4 linked regions of the Struthio camelus genome follow. The protein of the gene in region 1 purifies or fractionates together with the protein of each later gene. This does not show direct contact. Links are inferred from orthologs where the notes say so. Each region holds a gene or a part of one and is shown in the gene's direction. Other genes may lie near its edges. The genes, in order: SMARCA5, HMGXB4, CHRAC1 and CECR2.

The links.
Region 2: the proteins of SMARCA5 (region 1) and HMGXB4 purify together in Homo sapiens (affinity purification with mass spectrometry; 3 studies listed by BioGRID and IntAct, with this or other methods). This does not show direct contact. The link is inferred for Struthio camelus from reciprocal best matches to the Homo sapiens genes SMARCA5 and HMGXB4.
Region 3: the proteins of SMARCA5 (region 1) and CHRAC1 fractionate together in Homo sapiens (co-fractionation; 5 studies listed by BioGRID and IntAct, with this or other methods). This does not show direct contact. The link is inferred for Struthio camelus from reciprocal best matches to the Homo sapiens genes SMARCA5 and CHRAC1.
Region 4: the proteins of SMARCA5 (region 1) and CECR2 purify together in Homo sapiens (affinity purification with mass spectrometry; 3 studies listed by BioGRID and IntAct, with this or other methods). This does not show direct contact. The link is inferred for Struthio camelus from reciprocal best matches to the Homo sapiens genes SMARCA5 and CECR2.

What each region holds. Positions count from the first base shown.
Region 1 is NC_090945.1:34,085,362-34,092,309, forward strand, and holds the start of SMARCA5 (SWI/SNF-related matrix-associated actin-dependent regulator of chromatin subfamily A member 5), read left to right. Parts: upstream 1-3,884; 5' UTR 3,885-3,907; coding exon 3,908-4,066; intron 4,067-6,293; coding exon 6,294-6,368; intron 6,369-6,948. UniProt on the Homo sapiens protein: ATPase that possesses intrinsic ATP-dependent nucleosome-remodeling activity.
Region 2 is NC_090942.1:59,909,544-59,917,105, reverse strand, and holds the start of HMGXB4 (HMG domain-containing protein 4), read left to right. Parts: upstream 1-4,495; 5' UTR 4,496-4,742; intron 4,743-5,144; exon of another isoform or gene 5,145-7,136; 5' UTR 7,137-7,211; coding exon 7,212-7,242; intron 7,243-7,562. UniProt on the Homo sapiens protein: Negatively regulates Wnt/beta-catenin signaling during development.
Region 3 is NC_090943.1:168,239,765-168,247,798, forward strand, and holds CHRAC1 (chromatin accessibility complex protein 1), read left to right. Parts: upstream 1-4,974; 5' UTR 4,975-5,055; coding exon 5,056-5,190; intron 5,191-5,706; coding exon 5,707-5,833; intron 5,834-6,815; coding exon 6,816-6,961; 3' UTR 6,962-7,871; downstream 7,872-8,034. UniProt on the Homo sapiens protein: Forms a complex with DNA polymerase epsilon subunit POLE3 and binds naked DNA, which is then incorporated into chromatin, aided by the nucleosome remodeling activity of ISWI/SNF2H and ACF1.
Region 4 is NC_090942.1:70,502,830-70,510,573, forward strand, and holds the start of CECR2 (chromatin remodeling regulator CECR2), read left to right. Parts: upstream 1-4,725; coding exon 4,726-4,902; intron 4,903-7,744. UniProt on the Homo sapiens protein: Regulatory subunit of the ATP-dependent CERF-1 and CERF-5 ISWI chromatin remodeling complexes, which form ordered nucleosome arrays on chromatin and facilitate access to DNA during DNA-templated processes such as DNA replication, transcription, and repair.

The sequences.
Region 1 (6,948 bases):
GTAATTGCTGTACAGCTAATAGTGTCTTTTAGAGTAGCTCTTATTTGCGGTGTTTTAATTCAATTTGTTATTTAACCGGAAGTCATCTAAAGTATATTAGTAGAAAAAGTTATGGTTACACAAGCAAGCAACAAAAGGCGTGTCACCTTAGAGATTTGACAAAAATCTGTAATTAAACTGTTCTTTACTAACTTCATAAGCATGTTAATAATTAGTTGTCTTTACAATTCAGATTTCCGTACTGGCTGGGGGAGGATTTGTATGTGTTACTGTGCGTTTGTCCGTACCTTGGTGTTTAGCAGATTAGTAACCTCTGTCAGGAGCTGCTTTGCGCTACTAGCTGCTTTTAAATTAAGGTCTTTGTAGTCAGGCTGCGTGTTCAGACTCTTAGGGTTTTATGCATTCCTGAGTATCATCTTCCTGTTAATTTGGAAGTCTTCCTCTTCTTTTCTTCTTGATCAGTTTTTCCATCCTACTTTTAAAACTTTGGAACTTTTAGTCTTCCTTTCTACTTTTGACAAGAGTTTTTTTTTTTTTTTAATTATGCCTACCCTCCATACTTGTAAGTCTAATGGTTTTCTTCGTTTTCACCTCTAGTTGAGCCTTTTCCTTTGAGTGTGGCAGAGATTTTGATAGCTTTCTGCTGTTTTACAGCATGGTTCTGTTCACTTGGAGATAAACAGCTTCCGATTAAAATCTCTGATTGAAGAGTTCACTCCTTGTGAGACTGCACTCTTGCAGTGGTATAGGGTCCACTGTAACTTCAAGTAAGTAACATTTAATAATGAAATTATGGATGGAATAGAGCTAGAGTTGGGAATTTTGTTGAGAAGTGAATGGTCTATTTAGAAGCCTTTGGGTCTGTAAAAAGTACTTGGTATCTCATTCGGGGATAACTCATTAAGGTTATCCAAAAATACTACTACAGTGTTGCAGGTTGTATGCAGCTGCAAGACTGATTTCCCCCTCCTTCCCCCCAAGCTCTGATGTAGAGACAACAATCATTAAGGTTTCGTGTTTCTATTATGGAACTCAGGTTTTGGCTCGGAATATTTTTGTGACAATTTTTTTTACCTTTTGTGACTGAAATATTTGGGATTGGTACTCTCTTTCAAGTTAACTTCTTTAAAATTTGAACAAAAATTATTCTCTCTTGATGATAGCAAAGGCAGAGCTTCTCAGAAGTCGGGGAAATGAAAAAGCTAAAACAGTAACCAGGAAGGGAAGAGAAGCAATTTTTGGCTGGAGACAAACACCATTTTCATCTTTCATGATACTGATACTGGGCACATGAGTATCTCAGCGCTCCTCCCTGACCAAGGGTTGATGACCTCTGGATGGAGGTGGTATTTTCTCTTTTCGTCTTGCTAAGCTTTCTCTCTCATGTTCTCCACCTGAACAGTATGATCTTACCTGGAAGTTTTAGCCTGATTATAAAAAGAAGGTGTTGAAGGTGGTGGAACAACTCCCCTTGAATGCCTGACCCCTTCCTCAGCCTTTTATGCCACTTTTCTTTCGAATGTAAAGTCCATCAGTGATTCTCCACCTGTAGTTTTGTTTGCGTGCTTTGCGGGGGAGAGGAATAAGTGCTAAACGGGGAAGGTGGAGTATAGCTTGCTTCCCACCCTTACCTACTGGCCACACCATGCAGATCGTACTGCATCATCAGAAGCAACTGCAGAGGAGGCGAGAGGGCAGAAGCTGAGGCTGGGCAGATTAAAACTGGACATAAGCCTAGGATAACTTTATGCTGACATACTACAGGGGACTAAATGAATACTTACTATAATGTGGTACTGCATATATTTAAAACTTAAGGTATGGGTGGAGATGCAAGAAGAAACGCTGTGTCTCTGAAAGCAGAGAAGAGCCTTAGGCAAAGGAACTGGGTTTTTCACCTGTCATGAGGGATGACAACAAGCAGTGGGGAAACATGTCAGTAACATTTTTATTAGCTGAAAATTTCTGTTCTAGGAAAACTGAAATTCATTATTCTGAGTAGTTTTGGCAGAAATGAAATGACACAATGTTTCAGAAATGCGAGAGCAAACTATTTTAATTCCAAAAATTTCAAAGGATGTTGGTAATAAAATCCAGTGAAATGTTACAATAATCATAGCAGAGAGCACCTCCTTTTAGGTTGTTAATGCAGACATATCTGCAAATGCAACTGATTGACAGGAGCAGATTTGTAGAGCAAATCGTTGATGTGGGGCACCCAGTGTTCCCACTGTATGCGGTTTGGGGAACTTTTGCTTTAGACCAGCTCTAGTCTGGTCCTTTGGCCTCAGCCTCTGTTAGCAGTGGGAATGCAATAGGGGTGCTGTGGAAACTCATCTTCCTGTTCTGCTTCATCCCCAAATATTCCCATTTTGTGCACTCCAGGCTGCTTCCGAGATGTGAACTCGGGTCAGTGGTTCATGGCACGGTAAGAGGTGGGCACGATGGGATTTGCTTCAAAGGGGCGCTCCTCTTCTGAACTGAATGCGAGCGTAGATGCCCCTAGGGAGTCCCGGTCTGAAGCAGGGTGCTGTAGCTTGGGGTGGCTCCAAGACGGGAGCAGACAGTACGTTGGGTCTCAGGAAAGATGCTACAAGCTTTGTCTGGTTCAAGGAGCCAGAAAAAGAGGGAAGGTGACTTTAGTGCAGTGGTGTTTGCTCTAGCACCCGCTTCTGTGAATATTCATGTCTTTTTACTTGAAACAGAACATCTCCCGCAGGAGGGGGTCAGTGTGACGGACCTGAAAAGAGCACCGTTTGATGTGAGACCTGCTCTTTCGGAGCACTGGCGTCTTGCTTGCATTTTCTTTTGGAACATGTCATGGTGATACTGTTATATTTTAAGGAGCCTTCACGACCTCGCCGAGGGTAGGTGGTGTTTGCCAACGTTAATTCAAGCAACAGCCAACGGCCTTCTTGCAACGTGCCCCAAGCCGTAGAGAGGAGAAGCTAGGCTGTAACTCCAGCAACGCAGCAGGAGGATGTATGATCTCTAATACAATTTCCAAGCGCTTTGGAAGTAACATCACGATTTTTATTGATTTCTTTTAATTACAAGCCACCACGGGTAAAAGCAGCAGCAGCAGCAGCAGCGCAGCAGGGCGGCTGTGGTGCTCCTCAGCCCGGGCGCTGGGGAGAGCCCAGGAGCACACGCAGCTCGCTCTCTCTTCTCTCCTCAGCTCCCTTTTACTCCCTTTTCCGAGCGCGGCCCTGGCTCCCGCCTTGTCCCCTGCGGCAACGCTGGGGGCGCGGTGGGAGGTTGAACGGTTTGGGGACGCTGTAGGTTTCGTTTCCGGTGGGAAATGTATCGTGGACTAGTCATGAGAAAGTTTAGAGCTGCCTTCCCGCCCTCCGGTACCGGGGTACCAGGGCGGCGGACACCGCTCCGGCAGCGCTACCCCGTGCCGGGCCGGGGGCGAACAACCAACCGCCCGCCCGCCCGTTACCGGCTCATGACGTCAGGCCGCGCGGGGACCTTCCTCACCCCCCCCCCTTCCGCCCACGGAGGAGAACAAGGCGGCAGTGACGCCACAGGGCGCCCGCCCCACCCACCCGCCATCTAATCACCCAATCAGCAGCGCGCCCGGGGTGGTGGTGGCGGGGGGGAGAGGGAAGCCGGCGCTCGCGGAGCGCGCACGCGCGCGTCGCTCCTCCTCCGCCGCGCGCCCCACGCTGGCGGCGCGGCTCTCGCGAGAGCGGGGAGCCGGCTCGGTTCCTGGTTGGTGGGCGCCCGCCGAGCGAGCCGGCGGCAGCGCTGACGGGCCTCGGCCGCCGCCGCGCACCGGGCCCCGCGCGCGCCCCCGCCGCCCCCCCCCCCCCGCGCGCCCCGCGCCGGCCTCAGGCGGCCGCGCCGCCGCCCGCCTCCCTCGTGCGCAGCTCCCGGCGGAGCTTTGTCTGCGGGCGGGATCATGTCCGCCGGGCAGCAGCAGCAGCAGCAGCAGGGGCCGCCGCCGCCACCGGGCGAGCCACCCGCCCCGCCGCCGCCGCTGCCGCCGCCCCCGGCGGGCGCCAACAGCAGCGAGGCCGCGGCGGCAGCTCCGGCGGCCGGGGCCGACGCCGAGATGGAGGTCAGGCGCTTTCGGCCGGCGGGGGGACCCCGGCGACGCGGGGAGGGGTGGGGGGGGCGGCAGGTGCCCGCCACGAGGCCGGCGGCGGCGGCGGCGGACAATGGGGCGGCGGCGCGGCCGTTACTCGCTTCGGGAAGCGCGGTGGGCGGCGGGGCGACCTCCCCGGGCGGCCTGCGGCCCCCCGGCGAGCAGCCCTTGTGCTGCTCTGCCTCCTCGGCCCTGCGCTGCCGCGCCGGGAGGAGCGAGCCCGTTACTGCCCTGAAAAAGCACCGGTGTTTTCCGCGCTCGGCCGTAGCTCCGGACTTTGCGTGCGCGGGGCGGGGGTTTGCTTGGAATAAGTAAATAGCTTTACTCATTTGTTTCTCTGCTTTTTTTTTTTTTGGCGGCAGGTGGTTATTCCAGAAATTTCAAGGGGTTTTGAGTGTGATCGCCTGGAGATGCTAATTTTATCGCAGCATTGTTCCTTTAACGATGTGAGGAAACTGGTTGGTCCAGCTCTTAGTGCTGGGTGTTTTGTACTCTGAGTCATGCTGTACAGTCCAACCTACCTCATTTAAAGCAGTTTGCTAATGCTTTTTTTTTTTTTTTTTGGTTCAGATGAGCAAGGAACTAAAGCACTATGGGTAAAAAGTCCTGCTTGAACCTGTAAAAATAAGGCAATTTCAGGCTAGGCTTCGTGCGTGGAAGCTGTGAAATGCACGCTTTTGATGCTTTCGTGTGAGGGTTCTTCCTGTATTTGCAGAGTTAATCCCCCTTTTACCTGAGGAAGGGGTTGCCGTGCATAAACTGAAGTTTCAGTTTAAATGGCTTCTTGGTAGCCCTAATCAGCTAAGAGGTTGTTTTTCTCACTGTTCAGCTAAATTGGAAGTTTTTGTTGTCTTTATAGCACATGAAGAGTTCAGATGGCTTGTTACTGCTATTCATGTGTTTTTACAGTATTTCAAGTGTTTGGTGTTTCAGGAGAAACATGAATTTTGTAGAGGAGTTCAAACAGTTCGGTCCTTCTTGTGCTCAGTGTAAGACGAGTATTAGATAAACGCGTCGGGAGATGAGTGAGAAAATTTCTGGAAGATCTTTAGCCATAATTTTTTACGTTGAGTTCTTTATCTTTTGACTGGCACACGAGACGTTTGTGTGGAGGTTCTTGTGTTTTCACATGCCTTACCTGCTAGAGTTTCCGGAGGTGACACCCCTCCATGAGCAGCCCATGTTTTGCTTCCCTTTGTTTCAAGTTGTTTGCTTGTTCTGATCAGCTAGCAAAGGTTGCATTTAGCTGAATTGTCAGTTTGCTCAAATAAACAGATGTCTAATAATAATTTGGTGGGCATCTCATTCGTTTCCTCTTTTCACCCTTTCAAGAAGTATTTTGTAAAGCACTGTCTTGCCGTGGTTGAGTGGTGAGGTTGTCCCATTGTTTTTGCTGCTAAGAACAGGAGAAGGTGAAATTAAACGTGGGAGATGATGGAGAAAGAGTTAACTTTAAAAAAAAAAAAAAAAAAAGAGGAGAGAAGGACAAAAAAAAATCCTGACCCGAATGGGTAGTTGAAGGTGCTGTGCTACAGAGTGGGCAGGAAAGGGGATGAGGAAGGACTGCCAAAAAACAAACCCTAAAACTTGTTTTTCTGCTATCAGTAATACTGTTGGTGGTAACAGTAATACTGTTGGTGGTAACAACAGTTACTTGATTTAGTAAACAAGAGAGGGAAGAAAGTACAGCTTCTTTAACATGCTGCCCTGCTTCCAGGACAAAACTGTAATTCAAACTCTTTGTGTAGAGTTGTTCACCGGGTACAGAGTGATGTAGGATTGGGGTAATCTGGAAAGAAACTTGAAACTGCTGTTGCTTCAGGAGCAGAGCTAGTTCTTTCACAGTACTTTCTAGAGGCAGCTTCAGGAGGGCTTTGTCTCAGCACCCTGGAAGTGGCCTGCTGAGCTCCTGGACCACAGCTGGCTCTCTTGTTTCCATTCATGTGATGCTACAATGATGGGGCTGAGTTGGATTATAGAGAGCTAGCTCTGTCCCCCCTTCTGCGGTAGGGATCACTGATGCATGGCCTAGTTAATTTTACAGCATATAATAGAAACGTGATTATACCAAAGAAACAGAAGGTGGATGTGCTCTCCGATGTGTATAGGTAGCAATTTGTAATGAGCTTATTCGCCTTTATGTGAGTATCTTGTAAGCATTGTTAGAAAATAAGTTGTTTCTAATTCTTTTTCCCCTCAGGAATCTTTCGATGATGCATCACCAGGAAAACAAAAAGAAATCCCAGAAGCAGATCCTACATATGAAGAGAAAATGGTATGTAACGTTTGGGAATGCGTACATCTATCCAGCACTTAACGCAGTTGCTTAAAACATAGAGTTCAGCTCTTTTGAAATCTGTTAATTGGATTTATAGGTCTTTGTCTAGTCTTTCAAAAAACATTTAAGTAATTTGAAACCAAAACAGTTAAAATAGAAAATCTCTTTTCCTTTTTAGTGTTTTGTTCTCTGTTCTTCTGTTGCTTCTCTACTTCCGTTGCAGTGATACGTTGATATAACTGGTGATGTGTTTTGTTGGTTCTAGTAAGTGTGGACCTAGGAGTTTTGCAGCGCTCTAGATTTAGGAAGAATGGGATAATGGGAAGTATTCAGACATCCTCGGGGAAAAAAACATAATAGGAATTGTGCTGTCGCTTTTGGAGTTGTCTGTAGAGTAAGTCCTTCCTGGGGGTAAGGAGGATTATGAAGAGCTGAATATTCACTCTCTTGGTCGGAAATCGAAAGATCATCTAGAAAAGGGTCTGTCCTAACTGGCTACTACCTTACTTTCTTAATGTACAGAATCAGTTGAAGTCTCAGGCCTTTTTATATCACTGAAAAATAACTCAGAACTTCT
Region 2 (7,562 bases), on another chromosome or scaffold:
GCATTGGCTGGTGAAGAACTCTCCCGCTCAGGGGCTTGAGAGGAAGAGAGAAGTTTACCCACAGGCAATCATAGATCCTAGAGCAATCCCTCTAACCAAAGCGTGGAGAGCCCACCAGAGAGCCACAGCTCCACAATGTGGACACTCATAGGCAGGCCTGGCAAGGCCACATCAACTTTGCAATAAGTATACACCCACCTATGCTGCCAGGCTGACATTTTAGCTTCCAGGTTAGCGGTTTAACTCTAGCTTTTTGTGTGGTTGCTCCATTTCTTGTAAAACTCCAGATTATAATATTATCTGGTACTCAGTGCAGGACAAATGCTGAAGCAGTGGTTCTGTCACAAGCAGGAGTTGGGGAAAATTGTAGGAAAGAAGCCCAGACCTATGGGCTTTTTCATGTAACTCTTTCTCAAAAGAGAGGAGCAGGTCAGTACGGCCTGTACAGAGGAAGGCGGTGATGTAGAGAATTAAGGTGTGAGAGGAGGAAAGAAGTAAATCACCATATCCAGGCAAAAAGAAAAACAAGAATCCAGATAAGGCTGAATGCCTCAAGTTTCATGGCACTGGGGCTGCAAGGAGTTCTAGTCAGCAGAGGCCAGTCAGAACCCCAGGGAGCAGGCACCGAGAGCTGACCAGCAAAAAGCACTAACATAGGCTTTGTATGGCACCATGAAACTCAGATTAAACCACTCCTACCTTCCTGGCATGTGCTGAGGTATGAAGCTATTTAGGAGGAAATCAACCTCAGTGAAAAGAGGTAAATCTGACACTGATTCTCTGCCTTTAATCTTTCCTTCATACATACCGCCCAGGTATCCCTCCCTTTCCTTTGGCTAACCAAACGCAGGAGCTTTCCTCTTCCCCTCTGGACTCCACTAATCCTGCTGTATTGTTTTCCCACCAGATGGACAAGGACACTGTCCTCCCACCCAGCTTTACCTCTCTCCGCATGCGGATACAGAAGGTGCAGCACTAGGAACAGGGAGAGAATGCGTGTGTCCACTGTGACAGAAGCTGTGGCTCTGGGGAACGTTCAAACTGTTACACTCATGTTACAAATGAATGCACCTACGCTTGCGGCTTCATTAGTGACTCTATTCCCAAATGAAAAGGCAAGAAAATGAATGCTTCCTGCAGGAACTGAAGACAAATGGGAAGCAACTTAAGAAAATCCCCAATACGGAAACAGATAACAAATCTTTTGAAGTTTTGCTTCTCTGCGGAAGTGAGTCCTTATATTCAAACAGGACTCAGTAGCCTTGTTTATAAATAAGACTAGTGAAATTATAGGGCCGAGGTAACTGACTGGGTGATTGGGTGACTGGGTGACTGGGTGACTGAGCACTGGAACGTTTTGCCCAGAGAGGTTGTGGAGTCTCCTTCCCTGGAGATATTCAAAAGCCATCTGGACACAATGCTGGGCAACGTGCTCTAGGTTGAGCAGGGGGGTTGGACTAGATGATCTCCAGAGGTCCCTTCTAACCTCGGTCATCCTGTGATTCTGTGAATTGGTACCCAATATCTACTCTACCTGAAGTCCGCTGTAACGTTAAAGTCACTTCCTCCATATTCATTCCCATAAGCCTTTTAAAAATGTGTTTTTTTCTTTTAGAACCTACCAAAATGTAATATGCTATGCTGTCTTTTAAGGGCAGCTTGGTAGCTGATAACTTACAAGTGTTGTAGTGTACACAGAGAAGAGTAGCACTGTCTGTGCAAAACAAAGAAGGCTTTTGGTGGAGAGGCAGGGATCAGAGGATTTAATGTAGGTCCCATTCCAGTTAATGCCAAATTCTCTGTGAATGTAGGAAAAAAGTATGGAAAAGTGAGTCAGAAATGAAGAGAGATTTCCGAGTTGCAAACTGTGGCAGGGAGAACTGGTAATTGTTCTCAGAGCTCTGAGTTCTGTATTTAATTTTGTACCTAACTTGGCTGTGGGCTTGTGCTCATGGTTATTATCAATTATTTTTATACTCATTTCACTTGAGAACTCACCAGGCTAAGTACTAAACAAGTGTGAAAAAAAAAAGAGAGTTACTGAACCTAGAAATTTGCATCTTAAGTAGTGTAGATAGGAGAAAATATGCAGACAAGGACAGATAGGGATGTATATAGGAATAGCAAGACCATATTGGTCACCTTAATGGGCAGTAGCCCTTAGCACGCAATTAATCTTGCATCAAAGATAAGTATGTCCACCTCACAAAATGTTCTGCACGGGCAACAGCCTTTCATATAATGGGTTTGTCTTTGCCAATGAGACAAAGGAACTGAAGGAACATACTGCATATTCTTTTAGCAGCCTCTCTCTCTGGCATGTAGGGCCAAGAATGCAAGATGTTCTGAACAAAAGGAATAGGCAATATTCTCACAATAGCGTGAGATTAACTGATGCTGCACTTCAGGTCTTTGACACTATGGGGACTGCTTGCTTTTCCTGTTCCCTCAGGATGACCTTTCCAGTTCAACAGTACACAGAAACAGTTCTGTCAGGTGTTAGACATTTGGAGAGGTTGTGACTCTCTTAAATTTGCTATGTGTCCTGACATTTTCTCCACCTGACCTCTACAGTCCAGGTGTATATTCTAAAGGGATGCCTGGATTTTCTAGAAAAGGAAAAGGCTAAGTTGTTTGAAAGTAGCCAGTAAATGCCAGTGCTTTGTACTGGATCTCTTTATTAGCTCTAGGGAATAGGAATGACTGAAATGAGTTTTTCTGAGCCCTTCTGCACTGGTGAAAAGTGCAGAATGAGGGATTACATTATATTATTAGTAGTATGATTAGTGTTATTAGTATTATTAGTATTCTGTGGGAGGAGAGGAACATGGATGCATCTCAGCAGGAGAGATCTGAATGCTTCGTGCTTCAGTGGCTTTATGTACAAGTATCCTGCTATATGCTCATTTTCACAAATTCACCTGCAAATTCACTCTCTCCCCTCCACATGCAATCACTGACACAATCTAATACCTCTGAAACATCCAGTGCTAAAACCATTAAACTGCAGGGGAGCTGAAATTCTTTCTAGGATGCAGAATATTAAGCATACCATCCCCACATATTTACTAGCTACCATTATCAAACATTTGCAATCTTCAGACATGAGGCTAATGTAGGCTTTTGATTTTCATATCGATCGTATCTCTGTTCCTTCAGGCTGCACCTAGCCTCCCCCAGCCATGCTAAAACTTTATTTCCTCCCAACTGTTTCTACCTGACCTGTAGGCTGTCATGCTCACTTGCTCAAGGAAATTATTCGATGTTTCCATACAGTCTGTAGCACCAGCAAGGAAGCTCAAGACTGTAAAATTCTGTTGACAGAAGCCATGTTTTTCTTGTACTCAGTGCATTGTAGAACAGAGTAGGGACCTATCACTGGAATTTCTAAAAACATCATCAGTAATCTGTGACAAATAGCAGGTCTTGGGCAATGTGCTCAATTCTGGAAAGGTTCTGGATATATATTTGTGGAGAGATGCTTGTCCCATTAGTGAAGACCGTAACTCCTTCCTGTGTTATGGGTTGGAAAGTAAGGACAGATTTTATAGAGAGCATAAACAGCAGCGGGAATGAGTATATACATGCATGAGAACACCTGCACAGGCCTCGCACACGTCCTCATGGTTGGTGGGTTTTACTCTGAGGTGTTACAGCTGCTGCACCTGCAGACATTGATCTGTGCACAGCGGCTGGGGAAATTTATTAGAAGCTGTAACCCCTCACTTGGAATCAAACTATAGATGCACACAGTGCAACACAGCGAGGCCATTCTGGTTCCTGTAACTGTTCCACAGTTAACTCAAATCATCATCATCGTTACACACTTGTTAGGACAAAAAAAAAACACGACCAAGACCAGGAGGCAGATCTGTCAGTGCAGGGAAACCAGTGTATCTGTGATGGGTCAAGTCTCTTTAACCTTGGCCATGGCTGGGAACTGTAGGCTGTGGACAGCACGCGACTGAGAGCAGCAGCTTACAAAGAGGCATGTGAGCTCCCGCCGGCATCTGTATAAAAAGAGGACTTCTCCATCAGTAGAGATAATGGGATTTAAGGTAAGAGTTAAGTGAGGTTTGTTGAATAGGGACCTCCTGAGCTAAGGAACAGAGTGAAGAAAAGCTCACATGGGGGGGGGGGAGGGGAGACTTGTTTTTTTTGTTTTTTTTTTTCCAGCCAGTCCGTTCTTGAGCTTTTTTTTTTAACCTCGGTCTGGAATCCCCTTGCAGTAACGGACGAGCCCTCCAGAAGGCGCGGGGGGCAGCACTCCGCAGACCCCCGAGACCGCTCGCCTACCGAGCGCTGCCCGCGGCAGGAGCCAACGCCGTCGGCGCAGGCAGAGACCGGACGCGCAGCGTGCGCCGCCCGGCGCGGGAATGCGCCCGCCCTCCGGCGCCTGCGCCATCGGTACGCTCGGCGCGCCCTTACCCCGCCTCCCTCTCCCTCTCCCCCTTCCCCTGCTTGCTCGGCGCTCGGCTGGCTGCGCCTTGCCGCCGGCGCCGGGCGGGGTGTGTCTTTTCTCCCACTCCAAGATGGCGGCCGACGGTTACGGCGGCGAGGCGGGAAGCGGCGGCGAGCGGTGAGGCGGCGGCGCCGCCTTTGCGCTCCGGAGCTGCGCCCGCCGCTTGGCGCCAGCGGGCTGGCAGCTCCCGTCTCCGCTCGGCGCCACCGCCGCGGGGGCACAGGCTTGGCCTGCTCCAGGAGCAGAGCTGCGAGCTGGAGTGAGGCCGGAGCCCGCTCGGGTGAGAGGGCACGCGGGCGGGGCGGGCGAGCGGGGGCGGGGGGGAGCAGCGGCCGAGGCCGGTTCAAACGGAGGCGGCGGGAAAGGCGCGAGCCGCGGCCGTTGCGGGAATTGGGGCGGGGGGGGAGGGGAGGGCGTTGGTGCGCATGCGCAGCCGGGCTCCGCGCGGGGGGCTGGCGGCGAGGGGCGGGCGCGCGCGCCCGGGTCTGTGGCCGCCCCGCAGGCAGGGGTCGGCGGGCCGGGCCCACCGGCCGCGCTGTGGCTGCGGCCGCCCAGGCGGCCTGCTTGGAGGGACAGCTGTGCCGCCCGTCGCCGCTCTGCGCCGGGGCGCTACCTGCCTGCGGGCGCCGCGCTCGTGGAAAGACGGGCGCCAACGTCTGCCCCCTTACACGCGCCCCGAAAGTCCTAGCGTGGTTTCCGCGCTAGCACGGCTGGCGCTGAGAGAGCACGGAACGTCTGCGGCAAGTTGGGAGCCCTGCTGCTGGCCTCTCTGCTTCCACGTACCGTCATCTGTCACCAGCGAGTTGTGCAGCCCCGCTTGGAGGGATGAAACATGAGAGTGCTATTGGGTTCGCACAAGAGCGATGTGTGTTCCTGATCCAGCAAGCGCTTGTGTTAAGGACCTGGAGACTTGGAGAGACCTGCCTCGCTGAGCCTGTGTGATGTCTTCTGTAACCTAAGAATCTAAAGCACTGGAACCTAATCAGATTGTGTAGAAGACAAGTTAAAAATGTGCTTTATATTTGCAGGGTTAGAGATCTAGGTTGTAAGCCCCTTTGGGCAGGGTTGTCATGTAGCAACCTTTATACCTGCCAGACAACTTAGTGAAGTTTTTAAAAGTCAGTAAAAGGTATGCCTGTAGCTCTAAACGAATCTTAGTTTCTTAGTGTCATCCCCTCATGAATGACCATCTTCTATTTTTGCTAACCAGCATCTAGATTAAGCCTTAGTCCTTTTGAGCACAGTGCTTTACTGTCGTGTGTAAGTTGCAAGATCTGGTCCAAGACTGTAAGCCCATCAAGTGGCAAGATTTTTTTTTTAATTTATTATTTTTTACTGTGGAGCACAGTGCTGTTGTGCGTATACATAAATTCTGCTTACAAATTGCTATGCTCACTAGCAACAATTTATCAAGCAACAATTTATGGTGGTCAGAATGCTGATATAAAAATACTGTGGTTGGTGATTTCCCAGAATATTAGACAACAGAAGAATTAACTTGTATCCTTATTAATTTCTCCTATGTGTCTGTAAGCTTGAATTATTTGGGGCTCTGTTCTTTCATGTAAAAAACCACAACATGTTAAATACATTGTATGTTTTTTAGCATCAGCCAGTTATTTATAAAACTTGTGTATGTGCAGGGATACCCAAAGCGTAGGTAAGATAAGTTCCCTGTACTCAAGGTATTCAGATGTAACTAATATGGTGAGATAACTGTATCAGCTAGTCCAAACTAGCTGTGTGGTCTCTGTGATTTAACACTTGCAGATGTATGTGTGCACATGCGCACACACACACGCACACACACACACACAAACACACACTTTTAAGTGCAAACTGAGTTATCAGAAGGCTATTCTTTGAAAGTTAAGCTGGTCACTGACTGAAGAACTCTGAGAGAACTAGAGTGCAACTATTCTATAATGGCAGTATCCTTCTAGATACTAGCAACTGCTGAGTAGAATACCTCAATTAGAAGAGACCTGGAACTTAATGAGCTGGCAGGGGCTAAGGGTGCAGCAAAAGTCCTAGAAAAAAGGAATACTTTCCTCTGCTCCCTCTCCCAAGCTGACATTCAGAATGGCTGCAGTGGTAGTGTCTGGAAATGCATCAGAAATGCACCAGAAAGATGTACATCTTCACTCCAAAATCTTCAAATATTTATTCAAATATTTATTTCAAAAGATCAGAAATAATTCTTTTATGATGCAATGATTCCTGCCTGAGTTCTTCCTTTCCTTCACTACTTCTGAGATTCAAGGGTTTGGAATTTCTCTTTAAACATCACACTGTTTCCTACACTGGCTCCTGACAAAAAAGATCTTGACACAAGTTCTGTTTCAATTTTTTGTCATTTAAAAGTCAAACAGCCTTTTTTCTCACACTCTTTATACTTTTGTAAATAAGTTCATTCAATGATGTGAATATTTTACAAGGAGGAGGTTGTGTTGTTACCTCTTTTAAAATAAGAGAAAAACAGCTTCCATTGTGTTTAGTTAATTTAAGAAAAATTTCTATCCAGCCTGAAATATGAGCACGCAGAGACCAGGAGGTAGATTCCCTTCCTTTCCCACTGTCTTCCAGAGAATCTTCATTTGGTTCATAGGAAGTTTCCCATATTCCATTATGATTCTTCTTTCTGGGAGGGTTATTTTCGTTCTCTGTTTCTCAGACCTTTTCCTGTAGACGGGAACGGGGGAAGGAGCCCAGACGTGGCAACACATTCTCAGGCTCCTGCAGGACCGCCATGGCTTATGATGACTCCAGGAAGAAAGAAGGTATGACTGCTTCGTAATCTCAGAGAGAGTTGCCAGAAAAGGGTACCCTTAGCCGCCCTTTCCAGGCCACGGAGTCAGAGAGTGGGAGAGAAAGCTAATCTCTTGTGGAACATTGAAGGGTATTACCTTAAATTTAATCTAGTCAGGTTTTTGCGAGATCCCAAGCCCTTGACTTCCAGAAGTAAAGTATTGGGATTAGAACTTGAGAGAAACAACTGATGTTTCCTGATGTGAAAACCTTGCCGAGGTACTCTGCCACTGCAGCCTTGTTTCTCCCTGTCAGCTCAATGGAACAGGAGACCAGGGATAGGGATTTAGTC
Region 3 (8,034 bases), on another chromosome or scaffold:
GAAACGGTAACTTCAATAGCATTAACACTTATTTGAAGATTATGGACAAGCAATTGCTTGGTGTGAACTGGTGTGAATTGATTTAACAGTAATTCAGGGATAATACAGATGAAACTACAAATGGAGCCATTCTGTTTCAGAAAGAATACAAAGGTAGGAAGCTGCACACCCCTTTCGGGAGGGAAGATAGCCATAGTCAAGCTTAGCCAAATTTAGGATGGAGAGGGTAGAGGGTGACAGTTTTAAATAAACAAAGTAATCATTTTTTGTTCACATACTTTTGCCAGGAACGTGACTGGGAGCATTTCTCACAGGAACATGATTGCTACATTTATTTCTACAATAACGATGCAGGTACTTCACTTTGTACTTTGTTGTGGTATCAGCGATACCAAAGCACCTTAAAGGTTTGGGCTCAGCTGAACAGAGCCAATGCTGATCGTTACTCATGAATCTACTCTGTACCCTTGGTTGGAGAGGGGTTCAGACACGCTTTTGACGTAGTTCATCTCAGCAGTCTGTTGTTGTTTCACACTTTTTTCTTGCAAGACAAAAAGGTGATGGTGATAAATGGCTTGCAGAAAGGCAGAGTTACGATTAATGTAAATTGGAGCATCTAATATTTTAGCATCTCTAGGAAATTATTTAGATTGAGGCTGTGTAAACACAGTGATCTAGAGCTTTGACACTGCTGTTAAGCTACTCAGTCTCCTGATACCCTCCAGGTTGTGGGTATATAATGTCCTGCATAATCCCAGGTGGTGGAGCGAGTCTGAAGAGAAGTTACCTAAATGGGCATCTATCAAAATCGGAAATGGAAGATCAGACTTGGCATTTTTTGCCTGAAAACCTGGCTCCCATTCAAACATTTCTGAAGCTGAAAATCTTCATCCTTTCAGCTTTTCTAACGGAGGAACTCCTACACTGAGAGTCTTACCTGAAACTTCAAAATGGTTAGGCATATTAGTGACCACTGTCAATTCAATCATTTTCTATTTGCATTTGTGCATTAACATCTACTTTACCAACGGCTCAGATTTATCTCCAAGTATGATACAGCCTTATACATCCCCACTCAATAACACGTCATCAAATGCCTTCAGAATCACTTTTTTTTTTCCTCGTGCAAGACAACGCTTCTGCTTCATCATAAACTTCGTTATAAACTGTTCTCATTATTTGTGAATGCTACTTCCGTATCGCTGTGCTTCAGATGCCAAGAACACTACTGCAGCATAGTTAATGTCTTTTGTGATGGTATGCATTTCATGATAAACAGCTTTTTATTTTAATATATCTTTACATTTACTGTAGCATGTGCCAATTGCTTATCCAGATACTGCGTTTATGCTTTGCCAGATTGACTTCTGCTTCCTCCCTTGTTCGCTGACTCACACACATTTTTTCACTGGTCCAGCACTTTCCTACTGTTCTTCACAACATAATGGTCAATGTCAATAGTCTTTTTTCTGATTACAGATCATAAATAATTTACTCTCTAATTACTCTCAATGCTCTTAAATGTGCATGGGCTGGTTTTAAAATGCCACTTTGCAACATAATGGTCAATTTTTTTAGCTATGCTCCACTTTTGTGTAAAGAAAATGTATTCGTGAACTTCTTTGGCTTTGCCAAGCAATGTGAATGTGCAGTCTTCATCACAGTCTCTCTGGAATAACTGGAAGAGCTTCAGTGCAGCTAGAATTGCTTCATGCTCTTTCTATAATATATTTGCTCTTTATCCGATAATACTCTAACTTATCTCAGTGACGTTTGGAAATTCTGCAGACACCTTCTCCAGATTCCCTTCCATGGGGAATTGTGATACATCATGTTTATCATGATTTTTCTTTTAATACCATACAATAAAGGAATGATACAGGAAAGCATTTTTCAAAGATACAGCACTCTTTTCTAGTTTCAGGCAGCTCACTAGTACATATGAATGAGTTCTGTCCCTGTTTGAGCAGGCCAACTATTCACTGAGAGGAAGCTTTACTACCACAATAGCTCTACTTCCACTCAGTATAGGACAGGAGAAGTCAAATTGGTAAATTAGGGAGTCAAATCAGTAATTTTCTTCAGTTAGGTTCTGTTTCAGATTCAGCCCATGAATTTGTTACAGTTTTGTTCTGGTTCAGAACACTAATAGTTCATACCAGTAACCTGGGATTTATATGCACTGCGTCACAGATAATGAATTAAAATAGCCATGCTACAGGGTGAGACCGCAGCAAGGAAAATTACCCCAGCCTCCTTTTCTGCCAAAGCTTGCACAATACCTATACTGTTAACACAGTGCTGCAGCATCTCTCCAGTTCCCTAAAAAGGAAACCGAGGTTGAGAAGCTCGACAGAAACTGTGGCATTGCACTGCGCAGGAAGGAAATGAGAGAGAGGGATGAGCACAACGTGTCTAATCTCTTCTCTTTTCCTGGGAAATACGTCCATACACAACCCAGAGATACATATTTAGAGTGAAACAAGTGAGATCGCTGCAGGGAAGCTCAGGTAGGCAGGTGGCAGTGACAAGGAACAATTCCTTACTATGGGACAAGAATTGTAGCTCTGGTCACTCCATTGTGTTTCCAGACACAGCGTAGTTATACCTCACCTGAGGTGCCAAAGTACCTCCACTGAGCAGGTTCTTATTCAAGGCCGCAAAGCACAGCAAAAAGGAGGACTAGTGACCCAAGCAGGAGTAGAAAAGGAGAGACTGATGTGACAGTGCTCTGCAGTTTGTAATTGGTACAAATAGTCTCTATGCTGAAGAGATTTCCACTGGGGCATATTAGTTTTCAGTGAAACTTGTTCGAATTCATCACAAAAGATACTTATTTCAGCTGGGTTCCAAGTCAGGTTTAAAGAATAATTCCTAGTAACAGTGCCAGTTCAGTCCTGATTCAAAAGAACTAACTCTAGTTTGAACTCTACAGATCTGTGGGTGGTTTTTTTTTTTTTTTTTTTAATTAGGAACAGGTTCAGTCAGTTACTGGTACCACAGTAATGCTGCCATTTCAAAACGTACTAAAAAAATAATTATTAAGTGCCAGTAACGTTGCAGTATAATGGTATCCTCAGAGCGTGTACACATCCACTTTGTGTCATGCATTGTGCTTCTGCCTCCTGCGAACCAAATCTGCATTAGCAGTGGGAAGGGAGAGATGCCAGAAGTTTGCTGTGCTCCCACTCCCGTCCTCTGTCAGTCGAACGCCCTCCTCTTCCCAGCACCGTGCTGAATGACAGAGCTGTCCCATGGGCCCTGACTCTGGGAGCAGTGGGTGGGTGAAGGGAAAAGCCTGAGAGTGGGACAGGAGCCAGACAAAAACGAGCACGTCCCGATTTGCCCAGACCACTTTACGCTACATTGTCCACCACTGAGTAAAAGGACCACTGACAGGTGCCTAGCTCCTATAGGATCTACATGGCTCCTAAACCCATATCCAGATGGCTCAACACCATCAGAAATTTTGGTAGTTTCATGGGTAACTTCATATACTGAAATCATGAAAGATACCAGCAGAATTCACTGTCATGGCAATGTCAACTGTTTCCACAAGATGTCACAAGTAGATAAGGATCAAAGAAACTGAGCCTGCAAAATAGCATCATACTATGTTATGCTTCGCTTTAGCTGTAACTGCCACAGAATAGCATCAACAAAGTTGTAACCTCAAGGGATCTTTGCAGTCTAAGAGATTTAGATTGTCTTTAAAGACTAATAGGAAAAGACGTCTCCAAATATTGTAGTGCTGGAACTGTCACATCACCCTTGCACTCAGGTATCGACATGTGCTGAAGATGTTATTTTTCATTAATAACCCAACATCACCTGTATGAAAACCTTGTCCTTATGTACTGGGCAAAACCTGCATCAGCTGATTATATCCTGCTAACAAATTCCCTGCATTTTCAATTTAATACAATTCTCTTTACTGACACTTCCCTTTCTGCCCCAAACTCGACACGTACTATTTCTGCACGCCGTGGAAAAGCCTCTACGCGTCTATTAAGCGGCGATCAAATAAGTGACCTTAGCAGACTTCTTACCAACACACGCAATCAGGCACACTGCTCGTAAAGCGCACTGAAAACTTTTGAATAAAGACACTAAGGAAACGCAAACAGCGCGTTATCCTTTCCGCGAGCGCCGAGTTGCTCGCGGAGAGGCAGAGTACGGCAGGTCTCATCCTCACAGGCACGCGCGAACTTTCCGGTCCAGCCTTATCAGCAGCAAAACCCTCCCTGCCTTCGGTGGGCCTGAGCGGACGCCAGCCGCTGGGAAGCGGGATACGAGTCACCCGAGCAGAGACGCACCGCGGTACGCTCCTGCACAGGCCGAACGTGTTAATAACAAAGACACTGCCCTATTATCACTTAATACCTTCCACGGGCCCTCCGCATCTAAATACCTCCCACGAGCGTCACAGCCCTCCCTCTGACTGTCCCTACAGCAGCTGAGGCGGTATTTAGCCACCTGCGATTACAGATCCGTGAATAATTTGGTAGCCAGTGGCCTGTAATTAGGGTAGACAGAGGCGGGGCTGCTCCCGAAGCTCAAGCGCCCGCCTGGGGCTACGACCCGCGCGGAGGGGCCGCGGGAGGGAGCAGGGCACCAGCCGGCGCCGAGAGAAGCCCCCTCCCGGGCCCGGGGAAGGGGAACCCCGACGGCGGGGCCGGGCCGAGCTCTGAGGAACCAACGGCGCCGCCGCCGCCGCCGCCGCCATCGCCTCAGGGCCCGCGGTGCATCACGGGAAGAACGCTCCTCCCGCGGGAGGCGCGGTGCACGGCGGGACTTGTAGTCCTTCCCCCTCCTCTCCTCGGCGGGCGGAGCGGTGCCTCATGGGATTTGTAGTCCAAGCCTCGCTGCTTAGCCGCGGGGCGCGGCGTTCCCTCTAGTGGCCGAAGACTACAGTTCCCAGCAGGCTGTGCTGCAGAGGCCGCCTATTCCCCCCCCCCCCCAAATCCCCGCCCGCCCGCGGCCGGGTTTGGAGGGCCGGCGCCGGTCGGAGGCCAGGCGGGGTTGGGGGTGGGGGAGGAGGAGGAGGAGGGGAAGATGGCGGCGCGGTTGAGCGGCGGCGAGAACCGGCTGGTGTCGCTGCCCCTTTCGCGCATCCGCGTGATCATGAAGAGCTCGCCGGAGGTTTCCAGCATCAACCAAGACGCTCTTTTCCTCACCGCCAAGGCCACGGTACCGGTCGCCCCTTTCACCTCCCCTCCCGGGCCGGGCCCGGTTGTGAGGGGGGGGGGCCGGGCCCAACGGCGCCGCCGCCGCCGCCGCAGCAGCTCTCGCTGCCTCCCTCCGGCCCTTTCCTACCCGCGCAAGCGGGAGGTGAAGCCTCGCCCTCCTGGCTGCTTGTCGTGTGGGGGGTTTGGGCGCCGTCCGCTGCGGCCGAGCCGCCAGGGCCCGCGGGAGCCAGCGTTTCCACCGCGCTCAGGAAACGAGCCCGTGTGGAGGCCGCCTCCTGCCGCTTTCCCCTCCCGCCTGCGGCTTGCTGGGCTGCGGGAGGCCCTGGCGAGCAGCGCGAGTGAAGTTCCCTCAGCTACATCCTGACCTTGAGCCTTTCTGAAATCCGTGGGACTCTGCGCAGGGCGTCCCACAATACGTACGGTTGAGCAAAGGGCGTTAAGTGGGGATTAACGACAACTGCTACCAACTCTATGTATTAATTCACTGCTTGACTGTTGACTTCGTTTTGATTTTTAGGAGCTTTTTGTACAGTATTTGGCTACCTACTCCTACAAGCATGGCAGAGGCAAGGAGAAGAGCGCTCTAACTTACAGTGACCTGTCTCACACCGCGGAAGAGTGTGAAACCTTTCAGTTCCTTGCAGGTATCTGTAGAGTAATAGTGAATCCAGGATGTAGTTTGGAAAATGAAACGGTGCTGTCACAGAAGCGTTCTGTGAGGACACGATTCTCCTACTGGTTGTTAGTGTCCTGTACAGCATTCGACTGTACCTCATGAACTACATCACTGAAAACACTTCTTTGCAAAAGAATGGGTATTTTTCCAGTGCTGGGAAACTACACAAGGCCTGTTAGTCCTCTGTGTATTGCTCTATCCGTTTCTTAGATGCAAACAACGCAATCTGAAAGCTTTCAAGCCTATAAAATGAGATCACTTTAGGTCTTTCTGTGTCAACTTCTGTTATCCCAGAAACTACAGATGTAAATCTACAAATCTTAATTCTCAAAGAGAGTCATTCTCTGGTTCCACTCCCCCTTTTTAGTGTGTAAGTATATGTGTGCACGCACATATACATTTTTTGCTGGTACTGAGATTTTTGTTTTAACACTTAGCTCAGAACAGATATGGGAAAAGGATATGGGTTGAGGATGAGATGTACCTAGCCCAGTTTTTCTCCGAGCACCTTATGGGCATGCTTTCAGAGCATGCAGTCCTGTTTTGTCACAGGTCCATCATTATTGCCCTGAACAATACCTTCCTTGAGTACAGAAAAACAATTTCCACAGAACATAAATGGGATGGCTATCCAGTTAAATGAGCACTCATTTTTATTTGATGTAAAAGTAAAATGAAGTGATTAGGTAGTAAAGAGAGTGGTCTGTAATCAGTTTTATAACATATATTCCTCATCTTTGATTACTTGTACCTTAAGTGGGCAATTCCCTCCTTTTCTCACAGCTTGTTCATAAGCCAGAGTGAATAATCTGGTTAGTCGCTAAAAGTATAATAACTTTTCAAAATTGCCTCTGTTGGACTTTGTTTCAGTAATGATATGGATGCAACAGTATTTATGAGATAATTTAAGTATTCAAACTTTCTATAGAAGAAGCAATTCTACCTTTCAGATATCTTACCAAAGAAGATCCTCGCTAGCAAATACCTAAAAATGCTTGAAAAAGAGAAGCGAGATGGAGAAGTGAGGGAAAATGACGAAGAGGATGAGGAGGAAGATGATGATGAAGAAGAAAGTGTTGAAGATGTTGGATCTTAAGGCTAATGGAGAATTACTTCATAGTTAATCAATTTTCTGTTGTATAAAGGATGCTATTTTTGTGACTGAAAATCCATATGCTGGATATATTTATACACTGAGCCATCTGCTTTTGCTTTAAGAAGTTTAGAAATTGAACTTTATCCCTGCTGAAGAATGGAATTCTTCTCTCAGACGCATGATGGGGAAAGAAGAGTTGTTGTAAATCTGACAGCAGAACTTGCTCAGACGATTTAAAATGACTTCTTCAGACAATCGTTATCCAAATTTAAAACGTCTTATGGGCAATGCAGCTTTCAGTCCAAAGGCTCTTTCTCCCTCCAACCAGGAGTCCTCCACCACTTTCTCTTTCCTCAGAGAGGAAAATGAGGGGAGGAGAGACTTCTTACGCAATGTCCTCTGCCTCCCTAAGTAGACAATAACTGATCAAACCTTCCCCCAGTTCTCTGGAAACGTGCCAGGGCATTAGCAGTGGACCAAGCCCATCTAAAACAAAACAAAACCCCCCAAAAACCGCTTCTGTAATGCAGCTTAAATAGCCACGTCTGCACAGAAATGAGCTAGAGGTTCAGATCCATTCCGATAGCTGATGTGGCTCTGCGGCCAGCAGTAAAAAGTAGATGTGTTAGATAATGATGTAAATATGTATATCTAGAATCTTTTTTTCTAGTGAAGTCTCTACTTCTGCAATTTGTCTGTGGTTTCCTACCAAAATGGACATTGTTTTAAGTTTATTGAATGTGGATTGTTGAGTGGCAAGAGAATTAGCAACTGTTTTACCATTTGAGCGGTAGAGCTGGATTTTTTCTTTTTTTTTTTTTAAACTACAGAAATGGTGACAGTCCTGTGTAGAACTTTGTATGCAACTTTTTAAGGAAAATAAATGTTTTATATGAAAAGTGACAGTTAATGCAGAGGCTTTCTACAGTTCTTTCCAGCTTCAGTCACGTCCCTGGTTAACGTATGAGCCTAGTATGCTTGCTGTTCATCTTTCCAGAAAGGAAAGGGGGGGGGGGGGGCAAAGAGCTATGCGATGCTTGGAGCAATCGTCTGAGGTGTTCTCTATTAGCAAT
Region 4 (7,744 bases), on another chromosome or scaffold:
CCCTTCCTTTTACTTCCAGATGAAAGATTTTGTCCTACAGGAAAGGGGACTTTCAGTCCCTATGTCACCTATGAACTTTTTTGTTTGTTTTTTGGCACTTGGAATTTGGCATTTTTCTTAAAGGAACAGCAGCACAGAAACCCAGTGTCAATGCTGAGCAGCAAAAACGTGAAGCTTTGATTTGCTCCATCAGCCCCAGAGTTCTTTCACAGTGCGGCTCTACACGGTATACGCATTCAATTGATGGCCCGTTTGAGGGGAAAGGAAGAAGGAGAACATGGGGATAGGGAGGAACGTATATGGAGGGAGGGGAACAGCCGGGGTGGATATTGAACAGAAAAATCAGTAGGTAGGTAAAGTCTAACCAATAGCCTAGATAAGTATTGATCAAGAGGACTACAGCACACCAGGAAAGAAGCCTGGTCACAACAGGCTTTGGTTTTGTTTGGTTATGAGCAGGAAACTCAAAACCAAAGGTGGCATGGAGGGGAAAAACCACACAGGATTTGAGAATGGAGATATTTATCACAGAGGAAATGCTGGATTGCATTCATCAGGCCTTTGCTCTCTGTTCAGCAGCAGAGGGAGAGCAGAGATTTCTGTGTTTGAATAATAAATCTAAGGAAGTGATTTAAGAACAGTGTAAGAATCTGGCAAAGTGAATCTACCTTAAATAATCATGGGCGGCTCTCAGCTTCCTTGCATAAAAAGATAACAATATAAGAGAAGACACAATTGGACAGAAAGAACGGGGACGATAGAGGGAGCCAAATTAATTCAAAAAATCTTAGGGGAAATTAGGATTGTAGCTTTTCTGACAAAAAAGAGAGATTAGGAGACTTTGTTAAGATTCACAAAATTCTTAATGGGATAGAAAGTGGGGATACTACAAAGCTATTTGACCTAGTGTCAAGAACAAGCTAAGATGCAGCAATAAGATAAGCCATAGCTGGACACTACAGGAATTCAGGGAGGAATGTCAAGACAGAGCAAGACATAAATGCAACATAAACTCCCCTTACATAGCAACAGGACAAAAAGATTGCTCAGTGGAAGAACCAGCATTATTTGAAAGGCAAGTAATACTGCAGTTAACTGTCCCACAGAAATCTGTGTCTGAGGGTTTGTGACCCAAAGATTTCTCACGCAGAGCTATTGGTATTTTATACTGGTCTGAACTGTGTGTTGTTAAAGTATTTCATGTTGGGCTGCAAACTCCTCTTTAGCGATTACCATATCTTAGCTGAAGCTGGTTTAATCCAGTGCAGGCAGATACAATACACAAGAGATCAGACACTTCTTTGCTCAGTACCAAGGCTCAGAGTCACTGCATCTGGAAATAGAGTCATGATTTCAGTACAACATATTGGTTTCACGTAAATAATAAGTCGTCAAAGGCAAAAGGTTTTTTTTAAAGTAGTTTTGGGGAAAACAGACACAAATACTGTACGTAGAAAGGTAAATTATAAACTGGCTTGACGGCGTGTGTTTCAGGAGACGTTCTCTGTTGTGGGTGTGGAATTTACAGCAAATGAGAAGGGGGTTGGACCCTGAGGAGTGCCTGATGCTGCTCCATGCACCACTGATGCCCATATCACTATTTATCCTCATCGCCCCTCCATTGCTAAAGCAACCTTTGCAGCCCCTACCCACAGAAGAGCAGAGCAATTGCCATACCAGATCAGACCAGTAGCCCTTCCAGTCCAGTATGCTCACTTTGACAGTTGCTGCTGTCTGATACTTCGAAGAAAGGTGCGAGAAACCCTGTAGTGGACAGTTATAGACTAACCTGGCCACGAGGGAAGTTTCTCCCTAATCCCTCACCATCAGTTAGTGGTTATGCTGTGCCTTGAAGCCTGACAGTTTATATCCCTCCTAAAATTTATTTATATCCTGTCTAATGTGACCATGAATGTTCTTAGTCTCCATATAAACGTCTAATCCTTTTCTGAATCCTGCTAATCTCCCAGCCTCAATGAAACCTTATGGTAACAAATACTGTGTGTTAATTGTACACAGTACAAGTATTTCCTTGCACCATTTTAAACTTGATTCCTTCCAATTTCATTGGGTATCCCTTGATCCTGCAATATGAAAAAGGGCAATGAACTCAGAGATTGTTTATTCTTGCTGACAGCCCAACTGCTGCATCTTTGTTTCTTCTCTAAATGAAGTGTTCCTACCCTTGGCCAAAGTTTTCATGGTAAGGCTGGTACAGCGTGGTCAGCTGTACACGTGGTCACACGTGTACAGCTGGTACAGCACAGCTCTCATACCTTCTTCTTATTCTCTATTGTCAACTTCCATTTAGAAAAGAAACAGGGAGAGGAAACTAAAAAATATCAAAAATAGATGCTTGAGACTGTTTGAAATCACATTTCTGAGAGCCATGGGCTGCTCTATGTCAGCTGGTATTAACTCAGCAGCAACAATGCCATTGCCAGCTGATGCTACCAGCCTTTCCCTCGCTTATGCCTTCAAACCAGAGACAGACCAGGATATTTGCAATGTGATTTCCCCTTCGCCTGATCCAGTCTGTCTTCAGGCTACTCCTGAAAGGGGAGGTTGTACTCTCCCTTCCGTCCCTTCTCAGGCGTTTCACTGCTTCTTTGCATCAGTGCTGGTGACCACATGGCGGGGGGATTAATCAAGTCACTTCTGCTGATCCGAGAGAAAACTAATTCTTTGTCACCATCATTAAAAAAAAAAAAAAAAGGCAGCCTTCTGTCAGATCAGTGAGCCACATCACCCAGCAGCCGGACGATTGCTAACTCTGACACAAGGGACAGGGCAGGGATATTGTCAGAAGGCGTAAAAATGATGCTCCTTTTGGGGGCAGCCTAAGCCGGATTGGGGGTAACGGAAACCATGCCCTAAGGCGTTCAGCCGAGCCTGCTGGGGGACTCCAAGTGTTGGGGCAGAGCACACCTCTGCCACGTTTCCAGCATTCATTGAGAACACATTTGGGGATATCAAACAGGCAAGATTTGAAGGCATTATCAATGCTACACTGCCTCAGGCTTCAGCCTGGGCTGTAGGTATCTCAGGTGTGCCTTCCTGCACGGACCCCAGCACGTCTGCGAGCAACAGCCTGTCAGCCTCTGCCAGACAGAAAGAGGAGAGGCTGAAGATGAGAAAGTTAACAGAGTAAAGGAAAGGAAGGGCTAGGAAAAGTAGTGCTGGTATAAAAACGTCCCCAGCCAGATGAAGGTAGAAAGGAGAGGAAGGAAGGAGAGGAAGGAGTCCTAAACTGTAGTTAAACATGTCTTTGCAAGCGTTTCACTGGAGGTAAGATCCTAAGCTGGCACAGCTGTGCACAGTAATACTTTGCAACTGGTTTGAAGCTGGACTGTAGAGGCAAACTGAGCAGCTGTAACGTAACACAGGGTCAGCATACAAAGCTGTTACCAGCGTAGTATTTCATTACATCTCTATACCTTGTTATAGTCCGTCCTGCAAGAAGGTAATACCTAATTCTTGCTGAATGCTTTTCTCTTAACAGATTTCCAAACGGGGCACTGTTACTCTCTTCACTGCAGGGCCAGGAGAAATGGAGGTACTGGGCACCCGGGTGAGACGTTAAAGCACCTCAAGAGAGAGGGGCTCCCCACTCCTTCTGCCGCAGCAACGCAGGGAGAACGAGAAGTGCCACTTGGCCTCCCTCACTTACAAATATAAAGCGAGAACAGAAAATCTGGAGGCCCGGCCAGGACATGGCAGGCTGGGGGACACTGGCCGCTGCTCAGCTGGGCCGCTGCAGGGCAGGTGCCCCCGGGCCGCCTGGGGAGCCGAGGCCTTGCCCTGGGCTGCTCGACGGCCCGCAGGGAGGCCGGGCGGGCGGCGGCGGTTGAGGTGGCGGTTGAGGCGGCCGTTGAGGCGACCGTTGAGGCGGGAGGTCGGGGAGGGCTGAGGCGGGGCGGGGAGCGGCCCCAGTGGCAGCCGTGTCGGCGGCAGTAACGGACGGGGCTCCCCTGCGGCGGGGGAAGGAAGCCAGCCGGGCCTGAGGAAGGGCTGCGAGGTGTCTCCGAGGGGCTCAGCCCCGAGAGGCGCCCCGCTCCCTCGCCTCACGCCGGCCGCGGAGCGCACGGCCGCCCCCGCCCCTCGCCTCGCCCCACGCCCCGCCCCCCCGGTAGGCGTGGCCCGGGCGGGCGCCGGGGGGGCCTGTTGTTGTGATGAGCGCCAGCTCCACCCCCTCCTCGTGCACGGCCGCGCGGCTCCCCCCTTCCCACCTCGGCCCCGCCCCTTCCCCTCGCGGCCCCGCCCCACCGGCGTCCTTCCCACCTCCCTATTGGCCCGCCCGCCTGAGGCTACCCCCCCCACCAACCCAAAGGCCACGCCCCCTCCCCCCCCCCCCCCGGCGCCCCATCTGCTGCTGCCGGCGGCGCGGCGGCCGCGGTGCATGGCGAGGGCCGCGGCGCGGGGAGGCGGAGGCGGGCGGGCCGGCGCGGCGGCGGCCGCCGCCCGCCCGCAGCAGGGGCAGCAGCAGCAGCAGCAGCGGCAGCAGCAGCAGCGCCCCCGCCGGCCCTAGCGCCCCCCGCGCCAGCGCGGAGCGGCCCCGCGCGCGGGCGGGCGGGCGGGCGGCAGCGAGGGGGCAGCGCGGGGCCGCCGGGGGGCGGCCGCGGGGCGGCGTGGCGCCGGGGGGCGGGCGGAGCGCGGCGGCGGCGGCGCGCAGCCGCCCGCGGAGTGAGGCAGCGAGCGGGCGGGCAGAGCCGGCGGCCGCGGGAGATGTGCCCGGAGGAGGACGGCGGCTGCGGCGGCGGCGGCGGCGGCGGCGCGGCCGGCTCCGAGGCGGCGGCGGCGGCGGCGCTGGACGAGCTGCGCTCCTGGTGGGAAGTCCCGGCCATCGCGCACTTCTGCTCGCTCTTCCGCACCGCCTTCCGCCTGCCCGACTTCGAGATCGAGGTGAGACCCCCCCCTCCCACCTCCGCCTCTCCCCCCCCCCTCCTCCGCCTCCTTCCCCTCCCCGGTGTCCCCTCGGCCGGCGGCGACTCCGGCGCCTCCGCCGGGCGCGCTCGCAAAACTTTCGGTGCCGCCGTCCCGGAGCAGCGGCGGCAGGCAGGACCCTCCCCCCCCCCCCCCCCCCGAAACGGGGCGCACGACCGGGGCAGCGGGCGCGGCGGCGGGGCCGCATTGTCCGTGCACACACGCAGACACAAAGCGGGGGGGGGGGGAGGTCCGCGGGTCCCCGCGCCCCCTCCAACCTCGCCTAAAATGGTGGCGACGAGAGGCGGGGCGGCGCCCCCCCTGCCCTGCTCCGGTGCCCCCCCAGCGGGCACCGCCGCGGCCGGTCGTGGCGGCCCGGTTCCCACCTGGCCGCGGCGGCCGGAGGTGCCGCCTTCCTGCAGCCCGGCCGGCGCGTCCCGCGGGCGCGGGTTAATCCGCCGGGGAGGGCTGCGCTCATTGTGCGCCGCGCAGGGAAGGGGGGGACCGGAGGGGAGGGGGGACGGGGCTCTGTGCAGGGCAGACGGGAAATTTCAGCCCAGCTGCGGTGCCTCGAACACCTTATCTGTCCGCCCGCGGAGAGACGACTCGCTGGTTTTGTGCTTTTTCCAAAATTTCCTTGTGCAACTTTCCCGTGCTGCCTTTTTTTTTTTTTTTCCCCCCTCCCTTCCCTTGCGTGTGGCTAATGTTCTGTAAATATTTTGCGCTCTGGCTACAAATGTTGCAAACAAAGTGTGTCGGGGTAGGAAATCTTTTGTGCTTGCGGTGAAAAGCTATTCTTGCCAGCACATTGGCAATAAACCGGGTGAATAACATGGTGGCGTGCGTTTTTTAAAGACAGTAATTGCCCCGGGAACGCGAATTGCATCGATGCTGGAAAGTTCAATAGGATGTGCGAAGCCCTAAAGAGCACAACGCCTTGAGCAGGATGCGAATTTCTGAAGCGGGGGAATCCCTTATGCAGTGCGAAATCTTGAAAGGGGGTAAGGTCTCTCAATGATGCAACTTCTTGCGAAAGGGAACTCCCCTCCCCCTCCTATTGAGGCAAAACCATTAAAGGGGGAGGCTCTCCGGCCGCCAGCGCAAAGTCTTGGAGGAACCTGAATTTACAATGATAAAAGGGCCAAGGCGCTAGCCTTTCACCTTTGGAGGCAATTAGCATCTGGCTTGCTTCACAAATGAAGTAAATGTGGGCTCCCCTTTGGTTCCTAGAGCACGCTTAGGGTGGGGGAGTTAACATCACTGGGAACAAATTAACTGCTTTTGGGGGTCGCAGGGGGAGAGGAGATGCGTGCGCACGGGCTGGGGCTGAGAGCGATATGAAGCACGACTAGCCCACCGAAAACGTCGCCAGCAACGTCTGCGCGTGGGGATGGCCTGCTGCGTTTTGCGGAGACTGGTTTTAAAGGGTGACGCCTTGTACGAGTGCCAGTGGACATCACAGTTAAAATCTGCGTGCTGCAAGGGGACAGATGCAGCTGTGATAGCTTTGCGTCTTCGGGCGTGCAGAGTGCATCTCCTTCCCTTTCCCTGTGTGATATCAGCAGTCTAGTGCAGGCTGCTTTAAAATTTGCTCTTCCTTGAAGTTCACCGTCTTGTTACCTCTTCCCTGGTGTAGTTGTTCCCCTCTCATCAATGGTTTCAGGGATATCTGGGAATGGTGTGTTGCACAAAGAGCGTACACTGTTTATGGAACAAAACCATAAAGGGACTTAGTAAGTAATACTTTTTTTTTTTAAGGGTGTTGCTTTATGTGATTCTTGATTTGTATGTTAGTCAGCTGCATAAAGAAGGCTTCTCCCTTGGTTTCTCACTTAGGAAAGCCTGTGTCCCTTCTGGCCATCTCACAGGATAGTCTGGTGCATCCGAGAGAGGCTTTGAGTTTCAGGGGCTTCTGCACGGAACAGAGATGGCCGTCTTTCTAGGCGTTTAAGGAACGCCAGCCCCCAAGGCAATATTTGGGGGGGGGGGGGGGAATAGCTAGCCACCAAAAATGAAACTATGCGATCATCTACAGATGAAATTTTCTTACTCTGGCTTTGGTTATCGCAGGAGGTACACTTGTGGCTGAGGGCAAGTGGTTTGAGAAGTTACAGTCCCCTCGGTCAAAAGTTACTGTCCCTCATCTGGGATGCGGTAATTGAGGGGGTGACTGCCCCAGTCCATCGGAACCTGTTTTCCGATGTATTCAAATAGAAATGGAAAGCTCACGCGGGTCACTTCAGAGTGTTTCAGCTGAAATGCTCTGATGTTCAAAGTGCTTTGTAGCAAATGTTTGTCCACCTGCGCACCCCATGTCCCTCCAGGCCGGCCTTGCTTGGGATGCAGTCGGATGCTCCTGGAGGATATTCCCCTGATGGGGAGGGCCCAGGTTGGTTCTCAAGTAAGAACCTGGTTGGTGCCTTTTTATGCTAATATAAGTGTATCTCCAGTGAAGAGTTTGCTTAACTCTTACAACATTGTTACGATGGTGAAAGTCTTAAGCTAACCCTATAGTTGTGCATGTAACAAATACCCCTTGCTTTTTCAGTTGCTCAGACCTTACTGCACTGCGGGATTGGAGTTTCACTGCTGTGGTCACTGCAGTTCCCAAACTGGACAAAATCTCATCTTTTAATACGCTTTTTCTTTTTTTTAAAAAAAATAGAACTATTATTTCTTGTTTTGTTTTTTATTCCCCTCACCAATTTGTTTTCTTCTGGTAGCTCTGCCCGTATTTAGTCAGAAGGTGCTATAGTGATAGGCCATCTGGACCTGTCCTGCCCTGACTGAGCAGATCTGCTGGTAATACTTGAAAAGTGTG